Linked DNA regions of Macaca fascicularis. The protein of the gene in region 2 purifies or fractionates together with the protein of the main gene of each other region. This does not show direct contact. Links are inferred from orthologs where the notes say so. Each region holds a gene or a part of one and is shown on either strand. Other genes may lie near its edges.

Region 1 (7,201 bases), on a different chromosome or scaffold from region 2:
AGTAAATCTGATCTCTTCTCAGTTGTACAAATGGGCTGCTGGTGAAGTAACTTTGAAATGACTGCCAAAAAGTATACAGTTCACTTGGAAAAAAATTAAGAACTTATAATATTCCTTATGTAAGAAATATTAATGAGACCAAATACATGGAGTTGTCAAAAATAACAATGACTAAGAGATACCTTCTTTCCATCTGTGTGCGCAAAGCTGTTTTCTCCAAGCCAAAGTCCTACACACTCAAGGGCTCTCTTCCCCCCGAATTGAAGGAGCCACTGTTTTCTTAATGACACTCATCTTCTACTCCTACGACCCCATTCCAAGACCAAAGAGATCAGCTAGAGTAACTCGGAGTCCAAGTGGAAAGGGTCCCTCTTCCTAGCAGAGACACAGAAAAGCACATCCAACTGTAGAGTTTAAACTCAAGAAATCCATAGATCAAGGTTTAATGTGATAAAAAGACATCACCTTAACATGGCACATCTGATTAAGCTCTGACATTAAAAGGAATGACTGACAAATTAGATTCAAATTCTAACACACTCAGAATTAATTTCTCTTCAAACAGCATGCCCAGTTTCCTCCACTGACTCAGGACTGAAAAAAAAATCAAACAGGGTCTAAATTCTTAGAATAACTTTAAAACAAAATTGAATCATTACTAATATACGTTTTTTTTTAATTTTAATTTTTATTTTTTATTTTTATTTGAGACAGAGTCTTCCTCTGTTGCCCAGGCTGGAGTGCAGTGGCACGATCTCGGCTCACTGTAACCTCCATCTCCCAGGTTCAAGTGATTCTCCTCCCTCAGCCTCCTGTGTAGCTGGGACCACAGGCGCACATCACATGCCCAGCTAATTTTTGTATTTTTAGTAGAGACGGGGTTTCACCATGTTGGCCAGGCTGGTCTTGAACTCCTGACCTCAGGTGATCCGCCCGCCTCTGCCTCCCAAAGTGCTGGGATTTACAGGAGTGAACCACTGCGCCCAGCCCCCACTAATATACTTTCTAAGGAGGGTTCAAGGCAACTATTTGTGTATAAAACTATGATTTTTATGAGCTTTCATTATTTCCTTCAATTGCAATGACCACAAACTACTCTTAAAAGTCCTTCCTAACACAGGCCGAGCGTGGTGGCTCATGTCTGTAATCCCAGCTACTTGGGGGGCTGAGGCAGGGGAACTGCTTGAACCTGGGAGGTGGAGGTTGCAGTGAGCTGAGATGGCGCCACTGCACTCCAGTCTAGTGACAAAGCAAGACTCCTTTAAAAAAAAAAAAAAAAGGCCTTACAAGAGTTGTTACTCTTGAGCCATGAAAGGAGGCTCATGAAGTTACATCATCTTGCTTGAGGTCAGTGTATAGGAGGAGAGATTACTGAGTAAAGCACTACCAAGTTTGTATCAATAACTCAACAAACAGGCACTTAAGATACACCTAAGATGTGCACTACCCAACTGTAAGCCCAAGCCCTCCCTGCCTCCAAGAGCTGACAGTCTAGTTGGAAAGATTCGACCTAAAGTAATAAGTGACCATGTGCTAAAAATAAATAGCACAGGCTGGGCACAGTGGCTCACACCTGTAATCCCAGCACTTTCGGAGGCCAAGGTGGGTGGATCACAAGGTCAGGGGTTCGAGACCAGCCTGGCCAACACAGAGAAACCCCGTCTCTACTAAAAATACAAAAATTAGCCGAGTGTGGTGGTGTGTGCCTGTAATCCCAGCTACTCAGGAAGCTGAGGCAGGAGAATTGCTGAGGCAGAGGTTGCAGTGAGCAGAGATCACCACTGCACTCCAGCCTGGGCGACAAGGCAAGACTCCGTCTCAAAAAACATAAATAGGTCAGGCGCGGTGGCTCACGCCTGTAATCCCAGCACTTTGAGAGGCTGAGGCGGGTGGATTATCTGAGGTCAGGGGTTTGAGACCAGCCTGGCCAACATGGTGAAACCCCATCTCTACTAAAAATATAAAAATTATTAGCTGGGCGTGGTGGCCAGCACCTGTAGTCCCAGCTAGTAGGGAGGCTGAGGCAGGAGAATCGCTTGAACCCGGGAGGCGGAGGTTGCAGTGAGCCAAGATCGCGCCATTGCACTCCAGCCTGGGCGACAGGGCAAGACGCCGTCTCAAAATAAATAAACACATAAATAAAATAAATAGCATAGACAATATGTTTCCTAAATGTTTTGACAAAGGAGATTCTTACTGCTGTGAGTTAGGGTGCTCAGGAACTAGCTTTAAGGCAGAAGAAAGAGATAAGCTGGGACTGGCAGGGTGGCAGGATTCTGAAAGGCATGAAGGAGGGTCCCACAGGCAGTCTTTAAATGTATGAAATACTGTATTTTCAAGTCCACACTCCTTTCTTTTTATTTTTAAAAGAACCCTGGGGGTGGCAGGGTGAGGTGGCTCATGCCTATAACCTCAGTACTTTGAGAGGCCAAGCTGGAAGAAAGGATCACTTGAGCCCAGGAGTTCAAGACCAGCCTAGGCAATATAATGAGACCCCCATATCTAACAGAAAAAAAACTTTTTTTATTTAGCCAGGCGTGGTGGTGTGCAACTGTGGTCCCAGTTACTCAGGAGGCTGAGGCGGAAGGATTGAGGAGTCTTGAGCCAGGGAGGTTGAGGCTGCAGTGAGACATGACTGTGCCTCTGCACTCCAGCCTGGGCAACAGAGTGAGAGGAGGGCGGGGAAAGAACACTGGGAGATAATAAGCCCAACATGCCCCTAGTTTACAGATGACAAAAGCGAAGATGAGAAGCCTTGACCAGTTGATACAATAAGCAAGGAAATCTGAGTGGTTTTTTCCCTTCTAGCCCAGCAATCAAGGCTAGTGGAGAAGAGAATGAGAAATATAATTCAACCAGAGCAGAGGACCTGTGAGAGACATTAAAAGATAGGTTAGGACTGGTCCCAATTGCCAAACCAAAGACTCTGAACTTCATCCCTTCAAGCAATAGAAGGATTTCTAGCATTTCGAGAGGAAGAGAGAAAGAAACTAGATGCCTAAAGACTCGTTAGTTAGCTAGGGACGGGCACTGCAATAGCCCAGGTGAGAGATAATAAAGGTATGAATTTAAAAATACACAGAACAAATTAGATTTTAACATTTGTTTTAAACTAAAATCCCCAAGACAACCGTTGAAAAATCTTGTCTCTTTTGTGAATCTGTTTCAGGGAGAAAAACCTCTAACCAACAAATTTCAGGAACATTTACTGAGAGCCCAAAGGGAGTAATAACTGACCAACAATCTAACATCATTAGAGATTTTAAACAGGCCTGATAAATTAAAACTAGAATTGTCAATAATATTGCAGGAATCTCAAGTTCACAAAGTTCAGGCTACCTAAACAAGGAATACTCATATGCAACTCACTGAACGTTTTACTAAGTTTTCCACAGATTTCTTGATTTTCCATTCAGAGAAGTTTGAGTTGGTCAACCGAAGGCCGACTTATTTCCATAAGAAAGCCCTGACCCTGCTTACAGCACAGGATCTTGTAAAGGGCAAGGACCCAATAAACATTTGCAGAATAAATGAGGCCAGGCCTACGGTGCAGGAACTCCCTCCATCACAGGCAACTCGAATGCTAGTCTATTTCGAATAAAGATCTCAACATCCTGAAATCAAGTCTGGAAGAAACACCCTCCGGTTAGCGTTCGCCAGCCTTCCCAGGTCGGGCCTCCTGCAAGGCCCTCACGATGCTGTTTTCCCAAAGTAACGCCACCGTGCTACTTCCCGAAGATGACAACCTCTCAGCTCCCTGCCATGTTCCCCTCCCTCCAGCCAGATCCAGGAGTCGCGGATGCCTGGGGAAGTCTCCCAGCGGCCCGATCCTCGTCAGAGGAAGCGTTTTCGGGAGAGGGGGCTGCCGCCCCGACAAGCGCCTTCCCGCGCCCTACTCACCGTGGCCGGGCGGCCGTGCTCGGGGCCGTCAGCGGCGTCCAGGCGCGGGGCGGCGGCGGCGGCGGCGGGCGCCGGGGCCGGGGCGGCGGGCGGCGGGGCCGGGGCGGCGGGCGGCTGCCTGTGCTTGCCGGCGCGCTTGGCCTTGGCCTGGATGCAGCGCTGATGCAGGGCGAAGGTGTGCTGGCGCTCCAGCTCCAGGCGCTCGGGCGACACGGCCTCGTAGCGGGCCTCGCAGGTGCTGTGGTGGCGCCGGCACAGCTCGATGCGCCGGCGAAGGCGCTCCATGACCGCGCTGTGCCGCGGCAGCGCGAACTCCGCCATGGGGCAGGTGGGCAGCACCATGGGCCGCGGGCTGCACGGGCCGGGCCCGGGGCCGGGCCTCTCGGGGCCGGCTGGCACTGCGGGCTTCGCTCCCCGCGGCTACCTCTGTACGCCTCACGGCCGCGCCATGCCCCCGAGGGTAGCGGAGCGGGCTCGCGCGCGGCGGCGGGTTTTCCTCCTGCCCCGCTCGGCCCGACCCCCAGCCGGCGCTTGCTGCCCACCTCAAGCCTCGGCCTGTCCCCACCGCCCCGGCCCCATTGTTTTCCGCGCTACCTCCGCGGCCGCCATCTTAAAATTGTTTTCGGGCCTCTCGGAAGAAGGCGGGGCCTTGGTAAGAGACCTAGTGCGTCACGGCTGATGAGCAGGGGCCCCGGCCAATCAGAGAAGGAAGGACCGGCCGCCCGAGGGCGTGGGGACGAGCACGCAAGAGGCGCGCTCGGGCTCCAGAGCTGTATTTAAAAGGAACTCTCAAGCGAAGGGCGGAGGGAAGCCCCTGGGCGGGCCTTAGTCCTGGGGGCGGGGCTAAGCGTGACTGACAGGAGTCCGTCCAAGAGGCGGCTATTGGTTTCCTGCACGTCGCCCGCTGAAGGCAGGTCCTTCCGGCTCCCCCGAGGAAACGGGAATCCGGCAGGCGGGTGCGGCGCAGCTGGCCCGTCCCCGTCGCCCACCTGGCGGTACAGAGAGCTTTCTTTTTATCTTTCAAATTTCGACTTTGATGAACTCTAAGTAACCATGCTATTTTAACTTCAGCCGTTTTACTTTGACCTTATTCCTTGTATCCAGCCCCATAATTGGTCAGAATCGTCTAGTGAGCTGGTAGTTTCCTCTTGCACCATCCCGAATCACTGGTAGTCAGTTTCCACCTATTTATAAAAGCCCGAGCAAGTTTCAAAAGTGCAGTATTACTCACTACTTTTTAAAAAAGTCCAGAAGATGTGAGCAAAAGCATGCAGGAGTCCAGCTCCATTAGAGGGAACTGGAAATGCAAAGGATGACGTTTCACTGCAACCTCCGCCTTCCGGTTCAAGCGATTCTCCTGCCTCAGCCTCCCGAGTAGCTGGGATTACAGGCATGAGCCACCACGCCCGGCAATTTTTGTATTTTCAGTAGAGACGGGGTTTCTCCATGTTGGTCAGGCTGGTCTCCAACTCCCAACCTCAGGTGATCTGCCTACCTCGCCCTCCCAAAGTCCTGCGATTACAGGTATGAGCCACCGCGCCCGGCCAAATACATTGGTCCTTTAGATAAAACTGAGTTACTCAACAAAACCAAACCAAGACAAATTATGCCCCATAATTAAAACTAATAGGCAAGGGGGAATAGAGGGACTGGAGCAATGAAACAGTGTTAGTACTAAAACTAGGTAGTGTGATGCCAAAGGATATCAGGAACTCTAGATATTGGCACTCTAATTGCTAAAAGGTTAAGCAGGAGGTGGCAGGAGGCTGCACACTGAGATACACCATCAGTAGCTCAAACATTTGTTACTCTAGCTTTTTAGCCCATGAGGTTTTATTTTAAAATCAAGAGAACAGTCAAGTATGTCTTCATACAAACGCAGCAGAAAAATACAAATACTAATGTTTCAAATGGAGAAGGTGGGCCACCAAGGCAAAAGTGCCATAATGCAGTCCAGCTTTTTTTTTTTTTTAGCATTCAAACATAGAACTTTTACACCAGAATTAAACTATTTCATTAACAGAAAAAATAGTAACTAGGAGCACTACATTCTGTGTACATACTTTTCTTCAGTATGTAACCTAAAAATTTAATAGCACATAAAAAAACTGGGCTTTCAACAATATCCCTGAAGTATTTAAGTATACGTAAAATATGGAGTCTGATTCTGAACAAAGAATTTTCTAATAAACATTTCAAAGTTCAATGGTTCCCCCAAGTCTTAAAGAATATTATCTACAAATTACCAGTAGCATTCACTCCTTTTCTGAGCTGCTGTCCACACTATTATGCAACAGAAACTACTGCACTGCAATCATGTGGGCAGGAAGAGGAAAGGGCTAAACATAAAAGACTGCATCAAACTCATGTGGTGAGACAAAATCATTATTTCACTGTCCATAATAGTTTCTGCATATTATTGAACTTTCACATAGTGGCCAATTAAAGGAAGATCAACCCACTTGAACATAGTAACACACACACATTGAAGGTTACTATCAAGAAATTCAGTCAAAAGCAGACACTTAACACAGGGCTTTAATGTAACACCATTTAGTAACGTGACAAATTGAAAAGTGAGGAGTACTTTGTGGACAAGAAAATAGAGGAACACATCTGATGGAGAGTGGGCATTTGACAACAATGGAACAGGTAACCAGCATGTAAAATCATAATATAAGTGTCTTTTTAAGAGCTGAAAGCTGCTGCTGGTCATTCATTAATATGTCAGACATTTAATCAGGAAGCTGGACCTTCAAAATAAAACTGAAAAAAGAACCCAGAAAAGGCATTTTTGTTTTGAACAAACTTTACTAAATAACCCTGGAAAGGCAATGAACGATCTGACAATTTAAGCTCTAATGATTTAAAGCTCAGCTAGAAGAAAGTGAGGCATGACATATACTGTCAACGGAGGGTGAAGGAGGCAGATTTCTGGAAATGCAATGATCCCACACATTTGCTTCAAGGAGAAACCTGCAGACATATTTTCAGGTCTTGCTAAGTAACAACTGTTTATTTGTAATCAATACATCTGGGAAAGTCTGCTATGTAGCTAAGGTCATAGTGTGACCACAGAACAACAAATGAAAAGGAAAAAGCACTGAACATTCAGCAAGAAAAATACATCCCATCCTCTAAAGAATTTAAGTGAACCAGTTTAAAAAGAAAAAAAAATACATACAGCCTTCATCTTTTACAAATATATTTCCTTCCCAATATCTTCCCAATATAAACACTGTGGAGTGTTTATATAATCAGTGCAAGAAACAGTATCATCGGTACATTTGAAAGCCTCTAA
Region 2 (6,678 bases):
TTGACATGGAAATTAAATTAGTAGAGCTATCACTTTGATGTGATATACATGGTAAGATTGTAAATACACCAACTATAATATAGAATTTAATTTTATCTTTATGAAGTATTCTGAAATCAAAGACGATAATACATGCATCAGGCACATTCGACAGAAGACTTTTACAATGGTTTACATTTCCTTTTTATTTATTCCTTGAAACTGCTCATATTGCAAGTTTTTCATGGATGAAATATGGAACTGAGCAGATTCTTTTTTTTCTACAAAATTATGGTATAAACTTGCTCGATTTTCTATCTTATTGCTAATAAACCTTACAGGCGCACAGTTTGTAAGATAAACCCCTTAAGGACTGAATGCGTAGAGCATGCTGCAAGGTACAAGAAATAAGCTAAAAATGAGCATATAAACCTACATCTGGACCAACACAGTACTGAATGCTGGCAAACATTTATCACGACACGGGGAAATTAACAAAAGGAGATACAGTTCAGTCCTGAAAGGGTTAAACAGAAACCCTAATATATTATTGTTTCTAACCATCCATCCCACATTGCAGTGCTTGAAAACAAAGTGTAAGTCTGGCACAGAAAATTACACACATTTGTTCAGTACTCATCAGAAACACAGCTGCTTTTGAAATCAAAGTAACTTGGTTACTAACTGAACAGCATTTTGTTTCAAAAGGAACCTCCTCCCCAGTGGATTTTCTGGTTAGCATGACTAGTTAGGTTAGTTCTCAAAAACGGCATTGGAAGTTTTTTGTGAAAGCACAGATGGTACCAGTTTCATTAAAAACAACAAAACAAAAAGAACTAACCAGTTATGATTGCAGATAAGTCTGTGCAGTAAAAGTGACAAACATTTCACGATTAAGTCATGTATAAGGATGCCTTTAATTGCCACAGATTAAAGAAATGAGCAGCAAATTTAGATAGCATACTAGTGTTCAACTCTGAAATCACTCAAAATATAAAGGGCATTTTTAAAGCTTTTAGCTTGCCTTCTCAATCTATGTGATAAATTAAATGGAACAAATAAAAACATACTGGATCAGAGACTCAGCTTCTATGTGTATGTTTAGAAATTGCATAAAGTCATGAAAGCATAAGATACATTTCTAAAACAGAATTTTTAAAAATTCAAACATACTATAACTGAAGCACTCACCATTCTAAGAAGAGAGTCTTTCTGCGGGTAAATGATCAGCATGTCTAATAATGCCATTACTGGAGGAGGGGACACAGTCTACTATAACCAGAGGACAAGGTTCCTATAAATTATCATACTGAAAATGATTCACAAAACCATGAAAGAAAAAATTTAAGCAGCTGACAAAAAAACCACTGATAAACAAAAAGCTACAATGGACAAATCGTTTCACTTTTTAGTCTGTGGTATAAGAATGGCCAAAAATAGGTGGGGAAAAATGCCTGTAAAAGTAGATTCTTGGACTTTTCAAAAAAAGAGAGAGAGAGAGAGAGAGAGAAAAGGGTTTACAGTATAATATTTCAATTATCTTATGGAAAGAAACAATAAAAATAAAACAAACGTTTGTTTAAAAAGCACAAGTTCATTTTAACAAAGTCATGAACTTGAAAAATTATTTTTGAGCTACAAAAATGGGTAAGGAATAGTTTGTTCTTCAAAAGTATCTCTTTTGTTATTGGTTAATTTAATATGATTCCTTAACTAAATACCAAACCTAGGAAGTGGAGGAAACTTGTGGCCGTTAAAGCAAAGCAGCACTAGGAACATGTCCATGCTCTGAACAAAAGCACTGTGTAATGACTCCTGCCATGACTCCACAGAGAGGAATAACTATTACTCAGAAATAAGCGGTCTGTAAGAAAGAGACGGTGAACAGTTACAACAAAGAAAGATAAGGCCACAATGAGTTCTGCCCTTGATCACTGAAACAGATTTAAGGTGTGAGGCAGGATTAGCTTATAAGAGAGATGTGAGTGACTGGAGCAGATTTGAAGAAAAAAGGCGATACAGAATAAAATGCAGCCTGGGGGTGATTAAAAAGGCTTGCAGTAAGAGAAAACTGCAATAACTGATTTAATCACCTAACGTGCTTTACAAATGACTTTCCCCTTGAAAACTGAGGAAAAGGCGATTTAAAGATGTTAGGAAGAATATTTACAGTGGCATAGTCTGAGCATAGAGTGAGTGATGAAGACAGCGAAGCTGGAAAAAAAAATGCTACTAATAATAATTTCTAAAAAGTCTATTAATGGAAACTTTTTCAAACCAGCCCAGGACACCAGAAAGACAATGTTCTGTAGGGAAACACTGTAGGAAGTTACAGTTTTGCATTCATAAGGTACTGTGGCTCCTGTTTTATGGGACAGTAAAAGCTTACCACAATCTAGAGGTAGTTTTTACTCTAAGAGGGATGATTGTATTACTAGACTGTGTCGTATAACATTACATATGTGATTCCTGTACTAAATGTAGCCCAATGAGTCTGCTGCAATTTCGAAGAAACCAAACAAAAGCATAACCAAAGTTCAGGAATGAAAGCAAGGTAAAACTGGCAGGTTTAGCATGCAAGGCCAACATACAACCCTGAATGCAACCAAATCTCAACTGAAAAGAAAAGAAACATTTTCTGAGTTAGGAGATGTTTGTGGAGATGCTCAGTACTGGAAAAGAGAAAACAAACAAAAAAGGCAGAGAAAAAAATGAAAACATAAGTTACATTTGCATTTTATAATCTTACAACTATCTGTTTCTAAAGTACTGTCTTCCAGCTATTTTAGTTGATCATCTAATAGAAGCATCTTATGTTTTAAGATTACAATGATGTTCTGGCTAGCTACCCCCTTCAACCCCCCCCCAAAAAAGTAAAGATAATAAAACATGCTTTTGCTGACATTTTCCTCATTCTACCATAAGGGCACCATCTACCAACTGGTAGCAAATACTTCCCATATTTTTTGTCACTTGCCAACAAGGCAGAAAATACCCTGCTGAATGAAATCACTAGGAACATTCCAAGTTCAAAATAAAATGTTTAACTTACACATAATACAAGTTATGTACAAGATTAGGAGGGGGGAAAAACCTGAACAAATCCTGGAACACACATTATGTATTTACGTTATGGGAAAAGGGGAGAAAACACTTCAAATATCAACATGTTCTGTGCCATTAACTCATTAATGGCTAAATGGCCACACCAAATTGCATGTGAATGTTAGAACCTCTTGGATAACCACTATAAGTCCATTAAAAAAAAAAAAAAAAAGGAACACACAGAAATTACTACCAACAGTGTCTGAGAAGAGAGACTAAGTTAACATACATTGCATGTATTGCAGGCAAGGCAGAGGCATTTTTTTTTAAAGCTTTTGCACAGACTTCATATAATCTTAAAAAAAAATACATAGGCCTTTACAAGATTTGACTTGCTGAAATCCAAACAATTTTGACTCACGAAAAGTCATAAGACTTCAGCTGAAAATAAAAGAAAAAAGTTCCAGCCTAGACCAAAAAAAAAACCTGGAAGAGTATGACAATTAGATTAAACAAGCATGGTCAGGCTTGGAACCTGAATGTATTTTAGAGCAAAAGCTCAAAGGTAAGTGGGGAAGAGAACAACCTATTTGGTAACAAGGTGTACTATAATACCGTGATATAAAAAAAGGTATGGTGAAAATGTACCTTTTACTAAAGCTTATACAATATACAAGTTCCTTGGTCCATAAAAACTGTGTTAGATTTGTGTCTTCTAGTTTGTTCAACTTGTATTCCAGCCACATTATTTACTTCTTGCCCATTTAAACAAAACCAAACAAAAACCAACCAACCAACCAACCAACCAAACAGCTGAAAAACTTGATTTCCAATAGTTTGTACATTTTGACTTTTTTTTTTTTTTTTTAAACTGTGGCTTCTGCATTTCAAATCAGCACTTGCAGAGAGATAACGGGGTTTTTGAATAGTATCACCTGGTATGAAAAGTTCCCAAGAAACCACAAAAGATTGTTCATTTTTTCTCCTTTTTTGACTTTTTGCCACACTCAAGTCAGTTTAAGTCCTAGCAAAAAGACGGTAGTTAGGATACCACTGTGGCTGTAGATGATGTGACACTGGTTGAATTTGTGCTGGCGTTTGTGTAACTTCCCTCGCTGTTTGTGTTTGATTCATTAGGGGGCACCTGGCTTGAATTGGCTCGAAGGATTGCTCCTGCTGCACTGCAATGTGGCCGCGGCCCTGGTTCTGGTGTGTAGGTAAAGGTAAGGCTGGTGGAATAAATGATTCCATCATTTCGGACCAAAGTTACTGGAACCTGGACTGGTTGCCGGACCCATCTCCAACCTTCTCGGAATGCAGAAATGTCTGGGACGACACAGAGCATACTCTCTCCACACCTGAGGAGGAAATATAAATTACTTAAAAGCACTTTAAAAAGCAAAGTACATGTTAAAAATGAGACTTAAGACAAGGTTGTTTAACACATTACAATCAATGCCAGGAAAGAATCTCCTGTACCCACACCCCTCACAACCTCTGGATGATGTAAAAAGTTTTATCAAGTACCTGTACATAGTTTCAGCTTCTACATCCCCAAACCACACTCGTAAATTTGGAGTGAAATTCTGTCCTGTAAGTTCAAGCATTGCTACGTCCCCACCGCCATTCAACTGCAATTCATAGAAAATCACAACACTGAGAAAACTTTTCATTTTTCATTAAAGTACACAAATTAGATTCTCATTCAACTTCATTTGTTTAAAAAAAAAGGGCAATTAAAATGTTTTTTATTACAAAGCTAGCTAAAAACATTTCAAGATAACACACAAGTTTATTTAAATTTAAATTTTCTGGCAAGTACGCTCCTCCTATTTTGTTTTTTTAAAAATCAACAAATGGTGAATATAAAAATCCCCAAATCACACAATTGGAGAAAAATCAAAACTCCCATGAAATGAAATGATGCCAAGTCATAGCTGAGAGTAGCTGCAAAGAGCTAAAGGCCAACTTAGACTAGGCAGTCTCACCTGAAGGCTCTCTACGACAGGCACAGGTGTGACTGGGGCAAGGACAGGGCCCATTCCCTCGTAAAATGTATACTCTGCCTTATCTGTGCTAATGATTGTCCAGGAAGCGCCATCATTTATCATCTCTTTATTTGGTTCTTTTGGACATGGAGTGGCCTAATAAAGAAAGAAGTTTAGAAACTAAGTTTTATACAGTTTGCATTAAGAGTATAAGAAAATTTTACCAAAGTAACCCTCAGACAAGAGTTAAGAGAATTCAGTAAAAACTTATAAACTTTCTAAAGCATGGTGCTTTGCCCATCCCTACATAAACACAAACAGAATACTAATACAGAAACCCCACAGACAGCAGTTTTTCTTATAATACAAACTATTTCAGTGACATATTAAATAATAATAACTTTCAGAGCAACCATGAGTACACCAATGCAGGTAGAAATTTCATTAATAGCAGATCAATATCTGTGATGTAAATGGCTGTTTAAAACTCTTCGGGAACTCCTAAGAAAGAGAATGGGGGTCCTCATGCTTAGGCAACAGCTATAAGCTTATGCACGTTCCATAGGAGGGAATCAAGATGGGAAGGCAAAGCACCTACCCCTTCCTTAACACACCTAGACCAGGGACTCAGCATGCCCATCAGTGTGTGTGTGGCCATCTCTCTGGAAAGGAGTTTCACATGAAACTGTGACTATCTTATTAAATCATCTGCCCATGTCATAACCTCATGAAAGCCTTCTGAGTAAATGTAAAACATTAGCTTTTAAAGCATGTCATCGTTACTATCTTGGGAAACCACGATGTAAATCTGATGAGATTTTGAGCCTTCACCCAGAAAAATGCTTCGTCTATACAATGTTTGCACACAATTTCAGAAGATTCAATGAGCACTGAAAATCTATTTTTGGATATCCTGAGGGGCTCTTTGTTCTTCAATTAAGAACCCTAGAACTAGATGTTAACTCTTTCTCTGAGAACATTTTCATAATTTTGAGTTCTTCCTTGAGGAAGGATTGCTTGCATGTCTGAGGATTGTGTGTTAAGGATGCTCATACCTGAGATCCCTATCTGTGTATAGCTTCATGTATTTGTATATAATTAACAGCAAATGAAAATTTCATATTTTTGCAAGATGCTAACCTCACAGTTCGTATATTTTAGATTTCACCAGTAATTTAAAAACATACCTGAAATTGAATTATTCTTTCTTGAGAAAGGCACAAGTACATTCTTTCTGTATCCTTAAGGTAAAATGCACATTTATGGAGTTGTGACACAGGATCATCTGCATCCAATAATGCGGTCTGCTTATCAACTTTCCTAATTATCTACATTTGACAATTAAGAAATAAAAGGTCATCAATACATGGAAAGGATTTTCCTTGTGTACAACATCAAAAGTACATAGAAGTTATATACTGTATAATACTACATCAGTTATTTGTCATATGCCTACATATATAAAAACATTCACAAACAAAAAGACTAGGAATAAAAAACACTTTTAGATTGCAAGCAGGTCAGAATATAGACATTGTTACCCTCTTCCCTGAACATCTTAAAAAAAAAAAAAATCAGGCAGGCAGGCACTTGTTTTCTAGGTCAGTACTTTTCAAACATTAATGCGCACTGAAATGAGCCGGGGTTCTTGTGAAAAACACAGGCT
Region 3 (7,239 bases), on a different chromosome or scaffold from region 2:
AAAAAAAAAAGAAAAGACTTGCCTATAAGTCATAGGCTGTATTATAAGCTTAATGCTGGACAATTTTTAAATGACTTCTCTGTAAGTCATATCTTTGTACATGTAGCAAGCTGTCACATTATAGAAAAATGAACACATTGCCTTCACTTTTCCATCAACTGCAACCTTAGAGCACTCATTTTCAGTTAAGATACAGATTCCCTATGTTCAATAATACAGTGCCACATAAAAATTCCACTCAATCCAAAAATTCGAAGTTTTTGCAATATAGGCAACAACATGCTAAATTAATTGTAAAACAACTACAGCACTAAGGTGAATAACTTGTACTGGGATATAGAAGTTCAGTATCAAAGCTACTAGCAACACCAATCCACAAAGATTCTATAAAAGTTTAGTGTAATTTGCCGGGCATGGTGGCTCACGCCTGTAATCCCAGCACTTTGGGAGGCCGAGGTGGATGGATCACATGGTCAGGAGTTCAAGACCAGCCTGGCCAATATGGTGAAACCCTGTCTCTACTAAAAAAAACTACAAAAATTAGCCAGGCGTGGGGCAGGCGCCTGTACTCCCAGCTACTTGGGAGGCTGAGGCAGAAGAATCACTTGAACCCAGGAGGTGGAGGTTGCAGTGAGCAGAGATTGTGCCACTGCACTCCAGCCTGGGCGATAGAACAAGACTCGGTCTCAAAACAAAATCAAAAACAAAAAAAACATGGAAAAAAAAAAGTTTGGTGTAATTCTCACTTAAGCGGTCACCTTCAATCAAAAAGGAATTAAGATCTTATTTATTGTTGGGAAAAAGGAGACAGTACTAACAACCACCTATAATCAACATTGTAAGGAATAACAAATATTTGCTGTATTAATTGTCATTAAATTAAAAACACAGTACCTCTTGTACTAGTTTACAAAACAAAAACAAAAAAGCACCATCACTCTAAAGTTGTCACCACTTAGTAATCTGAGATATTTTAATTGCAGCTGCGGTATTTGTTTGTTGCCTGTGTGTATGACTCATATAGAAAGGTTTTCCCAACATGGCTGGATTTTTGAGAATGCAGAAGCCATAACTGGGGCATACTGTGTGGGAAGTATCATGACAGTGAATGAATAAAAGGGGAAAAGAACTCATGACATAATTTTTTTTAAGTTTTTATAAAAAGCAAGTCACTCACTAAAGGCAGGCTCTGCAGAATAAAAGGAAAGGCTGGGGAAAAGCCATCCCTGCTCTGAGAAGCCTTCCTTGACTCTCTTGGTTGGATTCAGTGCACTTCTTAGACTACATAGCACTTAACGGGTTTCCTTGTCTGGCTCCCCAGCCATACTGTATGCAACTTCAGACCAAAAGCTGTCTTAAATTAGTACCTACTTCCCAAAATGCCTGCCATATGGAGGGCCCTCAGTAGGTGGTTCATAAATAGGAATAATCAATTTTATATTTACATTTTATTTTACATTTCACTTTCAAAACACTATCTGTTTTGATCCACGCTAACAATCATGGGAAGGGCTTTATTTAATCAAATGGCTTTTGATTTTATAAAGAATTAATTCAGGGCTGGGCACAGTGTCTCACGTCTGCAATCCCAGCACTTTGAGAGGCTGAAGCAGGTGGATCGCCTGAGGTCAGGAGTTCGAGACCAGCCTGGCCAATGTAGTGAAACCCTGTCTCTACTAAAAATACAAAAAATTAGCTGGGCATGGTGGCGGGCATCTGCAATCCCAGCTACTCAGGAGGCTGAGGCAAAAGAATCACTTGAACCTGGGAGGTGGAGGTTGCATTGAGCAACATCATTGCACTCCAGCCTGGGAAACAAGAGCAAAACTACGTCTCAAAAAGAGTTAATTCAATGACTAAAACAATCCTGAAATGACAAAGATAATTATATATTTGTTCATCTTTGAGATAGCTTCTCCTTGGGACCTCAGTATTCTCATAAAATTCAGATGTTTTGCTAGCATTTTCTTTGCTTGCTCTCCATAATAGGTAGGACTCACCCTGCTCTGAATCTTACTAAGGGTTTAAACTACATAAAGCTATTATTAAAGACCCTTCTAGAAATCACACAAAAAGAAGCATCCTAAGTTATTTTTTTTCTGATCCTGTTCTTTTTGTAACTAAGGTAAGGAATTGCAAAAGTCAAAATCTGGAGAGCAAGTGATGTCATGGATGTCATGAAGTTGCATCAATACCTGATGATGATTTAGCATAACAGTGCAACATATTATGCCAAGAAGCATGATGAGCCACCAGGATGTTTTACTGCATTAATTTCATGACTCTTTATTAGCAAATTGATATGCAAAGTAACTCTCCAATTTTCTACCACAGAGAAGCTGCTGGTTCAGATTTACATCTTTACAAAGACACTAAGAAAATCAACAAATTTCTATGGAAAAGTCTTTGATTTAAAAATAGAAGAGGTGGCTGGGCGCAGTGGCTCAAGCCTGGGGTGGGGCAGGGTATCGCTTGACACCAGAAGTTTGAGATCAGCCTGGGCAACATGGTGAAACCCCATCTCTACGAAAATTTAAAAAAAAAAATTAGCCGGGCGTGGTGGCGCACGCCTGTAATCCTAGCTTCTCAGGAGGCTGAAGCAGGAGAATGGCTAAACCCAGGGGATGGAGATTGCAGCGAGCCGAGATTGTGCCACTGCACTCCAGCCTGGGTGACAGACAGAGTGAGAGACAACCAAAAAAAAAAAAAAGAGAGAGAGAGAAAATGGTCAAATAATAACCTAAAACAATTGTCATTTTAACAGTGAAAAGCTTTTTAAGATATGCCACATGCCTATGGATCAATGTAGATTGAATCATGTATTTATATTGGCTTGTCAAAAGCCAACAGTTACTGGGTATAAAATGACAACATACAATAGAAAAGACATCCAATCAGATTACACATATGAATACACTGAAAGTTAGCAATTTAACACAGCATCACTAATGGCCGTAAGAGCTACAGACTTAATTCTAAATGTTCAATTCTAAATGACTGTACTTCCTCCAAATTTTCCTTGTCTCTTTAAATCCATGATGTCATCATTCTTAAGTACAAATAAAGCCAATTTGTTACAAAAGGTATTTTCGTGTGTCCAAGCAAAAGCAAATGCCTCAACAATTTCCCATGCAAGTGCAATGAAGTCATTATTCCTCAAGGAAGAGACCACAAGGCTTCAAACCGACTTCCCTACATGACAGAAACACAATCGAAGTCTCCCAATTAGCATTTAAACAACAACAAAAGTTGTTCTCAAAAAGGAACAACATAGTTACAATGTCGCTGCCAGCAAGTATGAACTGGTAATGTATCAGAATTTTCATCTAGATCGATCAGAATCCCACCATAGAAAAATTCAAAGACGCTGGCAATTAAGAAATGAAGCTTTTATTTTCCTAATAGAAGTCGGGAGATTTAACAGACAAAACAATTGATTATTCTGAATCTTAACAATCCGAAGCTTTCAAACGAACTCAGGGCTGAAGTTACTCTGCAGCGACCATCAAGATCTCACAATCGTTTCCTCTTCGCTTACAAATTCGTTCCCACCCTCCACCGTTCCCTTTGCACACACAATTCTCGCCAAGAGAAGCCTTCCACATTCACAGCATGGATTGCTGTCTCAAGCAAGGAAATCCGCAGTTCCCATTTCTCTAGGGGAACATGCAGCAAGCTAGGGGATAGGAAAGGCCTTTTGTGTTTTATTTAACGTAAACCAATTCCAAAATTATCCCTTTGCAGCTGCAGGTTCAGAGATGCTGGCCCCTAGCCGCAGCCCCAATTTTGATGCGCACCCGACCCCCGGCTCCCCTCTCGCATAGGAGTGAAAGGTTCGGAGGAGGAATGAAAGGATTATCTGACACCCTAAAGCCATCCTTGCCCGGGCCACAGACCCCTTCACTGCCTGGGTGAGGGGACGAGAACCACCCTGCTGAGGAGAGGGGGGTGGGTTCGCTCCCGACCAAAAGGCTGGCTGGAAAGGACCTCTCCTCCTCGCCTCACTCGAGGACGGCGATAGCAAGGCACCCTACCCAACCAGGACCGACCCCCGCGCAGGATACGGGGCCTGCGCCAGACCCCGGGCGCCCGCTGCCCCTTGCCAGTCCCGGGCATAAAGGGCATGAGGCGCCGGCTCCCCACCGCGGCCCGGGGAGGAGAGGCCTCACCTGGCCCAGCCCGCTCCACGCTCTCGGGTTCGCTCCGCTGGCGAAGGTAATGAGGGAGCCAGGGACAGGGCCAGAGCAGAGGCGCTCTGCGTCAGGCCGCGATAGCGGTGCTCGGGGCTCCTCACAGCTGGCGGGACCCCGAGCCGCCCGGAGCCGCCATCTTCCTCCACTCAAACGCCGCCGCCGCCGCCGCAGCTGCTGCTGCTCAGGCCGGGAGAAGACAGCGCAGAGCGCGCATGCGCCGGGGCGGGCGCGGAGGACGCGCGCGCACTCACGTCAGCGCGGCGGCCTGTCGCGGGGCGGCCAGGCGGCGGCGCCATATTCAGAAGGGCTGTGGTCACAGACTGAGGTTCTCTGGAAGGTGGAAGGCGGTCGGGGTAGCCAGGCTTCCGCACCCGCCTTCGCCGCGTCTCTAGCGTCGCCTCATAGCCGCACCCACCCTCCGCTGAACTGTCTGGGGCAACTGGGTGGTTTTTCCAGTGGTTTGAGACTAACGTTTAGCCAGGAATTAACTCACTTCTACCCCGAGGGCCCGATGAGCACAGAGGGCTGTGGCCGATGTAAGTGCCCATGGATACTGCCAAGGGGAGGGAAACTCTGCCTGAGGTGTGCAAGAGAAGCCTCCCTTAAATGTAGCCTCGTAGCAACCACTGTGTGAGTTCTTACTAGCTCCGCTTTTAAGATGAGGAAACTGAGGCACAGAAAACGATCAGTTATTTGACCAGAGTCACACACCTAGCAGTGAAGGTGGGCGGCGCGGGAAAGAGGATTTAAACTCAGGCATGTCTGGTTCCCAAGCTCCTTTACTTCCTACTGGCTATCACCAGGGGATAGGATCCAGCAAAGTCCCCCTTCTCAAGGGAGCAAGCTGGTGTGTAGGTGAGAACCTTCATGAGCCCAGCCCTACAGCATATGGTCTAAGGAAATGCCAGATAGAGAGTCGAAGGCTTCCATCTAAACTCTGTAAGCCAAAAAAAAAAAAAAAAAAAAAATCTAAGGCCCCCCCCCCCCCGCAAAACCATCCGAATGGACTTCCTCCTAGGCCAGGGCAGTCTAAAATGTAACCATGGTTCAGGCCATGACAGGAAGCGGGACATAAGACATGCCTCATTACACCCTCCAGCATTGACATCAACACAACAGACCTTAAGACTGTTAAGAAACATTTACAATAGGCCGGGCGCGGTGGCTCACGCCTGTAATCCCAGCACTTTGGGAGGCCGAGGCGGGCGGATCACAAGGTCAGGAGATCGAGACCACGGTGAAACCCCGTCTCTACTAAAAATACAAAAAATTAGCCGGGCGCGGTTGTGGGCGCCTGTAGTCCCAGCTACTCAGGAGGCTGAGGCAGGAGAATGGCGTGAACCCGGGAGGCGGAGCTTGCAGTGAGCCGAGATGGCGCCACTGCACTCCAGCCTGGGCGACAGAGCCAGACTCCGTCTCAAAAAAAAAAAAAAAAAAAAAGAAACATTTACAATCTATTCTCTCTGGAGCCTGCCTGCCACCTGGAGGTTTCACATGCATGATGAAACTTTAGTGTCCACAACCCTTATCATAACCCAGACATTCATTTCTATTGATAATAAGGTTTTTTTTTTTGAGACAGGGTCTGGCTCTGTTGCCCAAGCTGGAGTCTAGTGATGAGTTCTTGGTTCGCTGCAACCTCTGCCTTTCGGGCTCAAGCTGTCCTCCTACCTTAGCTTCCTGAGTAGCTGGGACTACAGGCGGGCACCACCATGCCTGGCAAATTTTTCCATTTTGTTGTAGACGCAGGGTTCACCATGTTGCCCATGCTCGTCTCAAACTCCTGAGCTCAAGCAATCCACTTGCCTCGGCCTCCCAAAGTGCTGGGATTACAGGCGTGTGGCACCGCACCAGGCCTATTGATAACTCTTTCAACTCATTGCCAATCAGACAGTTTTTAAATCTGCCTATAACGTGAAAGCCCCCACTTCAAGTTTCCAGTCTTTCTGCACCAAACTAATGTAGTTTTTATTTATTTATTTATTTACTTATTTTTATTTATTTATGTTTTTTTTTTTGAAACAGAGTCTTGCTCTGTCACCCAAACTAGAGTGCGGTGGCACCAACTCGACTCACTGCAACCTCCGCCTCCTGGGTTCAACCAATTTGCTATTTGCCAAATGTAGTTTTTGGTTTTTTTTGAAATGGAGTTTTGCTCTGTCGCCCAGGCTAGAGTGCAGTGGCGTGATCTCTGCTCACTGCAAGCCCCGCCTCCTGGGTTCACGCCATTCTCCTGCCTCAGCCTCCAGAGTAGCTGGGACTACAGGCGTCTGCCACCACGCCTGACTAATTTTTTGTATTTTTAGTAGAGACAGAGTTTCACTATGTTGGCCAGGCTGGTCACCAACTCCTGACTTCAGGTGATCCGCCCACCTAGGCCTCCCAAAGTGCTGGGATTACAGGGGTGAGCCACAACGCCTGGCCTTATTATTTTTTTTTATTTCTTTCTTTTCTTTTTTTTTTTTTTTGAGACAGAGTCTCACTCTGTCACCCAGGCTAGTGCAGTGGCATGATCTCGGCTCACTGCAACCTCCACCTCCCAGGTTCAAGCAATTCTCCTGCCTCAGCCTCCTGAGTAGCTGGGACTACGGGTGCGCATCACCATGCCTGGCTAACTTTTTGTATTTTTAGTAGAGACGAGGTTTCACCATGCCGGCCAGGCTGATCTTGAACACCTGACCTCGTGCTCCACCTGCCTCAGCCTCCGAAAGTGCTGGGATTACAGGTGTGAGCCACCGCACCAGATCTAATTTTTGTATTTTTAGTAGGGGCAGGGTTTCACCATGTTGGCCAAGTTGGTCTCGAACTCTTAACCTTAGGTGATCCGCCTGCGTTGGCCTCCCAAAGTGCCGGGATTACAGGGGTGAGCCACCACGCCCAGCCTGCACATTTTCAATATTGGTAAGTTGCCATTTACGTATCACAACTATCTATATAGCTTCAGCTTGTGCATCAGATACAAAGTTATGATGGGCTTTGAGCTTGTATTCTGATTAGCATCAAAGTGTTTTATGTGGTGTACCGAAAGCACCTGAAGTTTTGAGTG

What was found.
Region 1: the proteins of RBPJ (region 2) and MAML1 purify together in Homo sapiens (co-immunoprecipitation; 12 studies listed by BioGRID and IntAct, counting the BioPlex papers as one, with this or other methods). This does not show direct contact. The link is inferred for Macaca fascicularis from reciprocal best matches to the Homo sapiens genes RBPJ and MAML1.
Region 3: the proteins of RBPJ (region 2) and FBXO42 purify together in Homo sapiens (affinity purification with mass spectrometry; 3 studies listed by BioGRID and IntAct, counting the BioPlex papers as one, with this or other methods). This does not show direct contact. The link is inferred for Macaca fascicularis from reciprocal best matches to the Homo sapiens genes RBPJ and FBXO42.

What each region holds. Positions count from the first base shown.
Region 1 is NC_088380.1:186,605,083-186,612,283, reverse strand, and holds the start of MAML1 (mastermind-like protein 1), read right to left. Parts: upstream 4,392-7,201; 5' UTR 4,243-4,391; coding exon 3,901-4,242; intron 1-3,900. UniProt on the Homo sapiens protein: Acts as a transcriptional coactivator for NOTCH proteins. Has been shown to amplify NOTCH-induced transcription of HES1. Enhances phosphorylation and proteolytic turnover of the NOTCH intracellular domain in the nucleus through interaction with CDK8.
Region 2 is NC_088379.1:25,564,478-25,571,155, reverse strand, and holds the end of RBPJ (recombining binding protein suppressor of hairless), read right to left. Parts: intron 6,341-6,678; coding exon 6,200-6,340; intron 5,169-6,199; coding exon 5,013-5,168; intron 4,656-5,012; coding exon 4,552-4,655; intron 4,383-4,551; coding exon 4,067-4,382; 3' UTR 160-4,066; downstream 1-159. UniProt on the Homo sapiens protein: Transcriptional regulator that plays a central role in Notch signaling, a signaling pathway involved in cell-cell communication that regulates a broad spectrum of cell-fate determinations.
Region 3 is NC_088375.1:218,760,587-218,767,825, reverse strand, and holds the start of FBXO42 (F-box only protein 42), read right to left. Parts: upstream 4,392-7,239; 5' UTR 4,170-4,391; intron 1-4,169. UniProt on the Homo sapiens protein: Substrate-recognition component of some SCF (SKP1-CUL1-F-box protein)-type E3 ubiquitin ligase complex. Specifically recognizes p53/TP53, promoting its ubiquitination and degradation.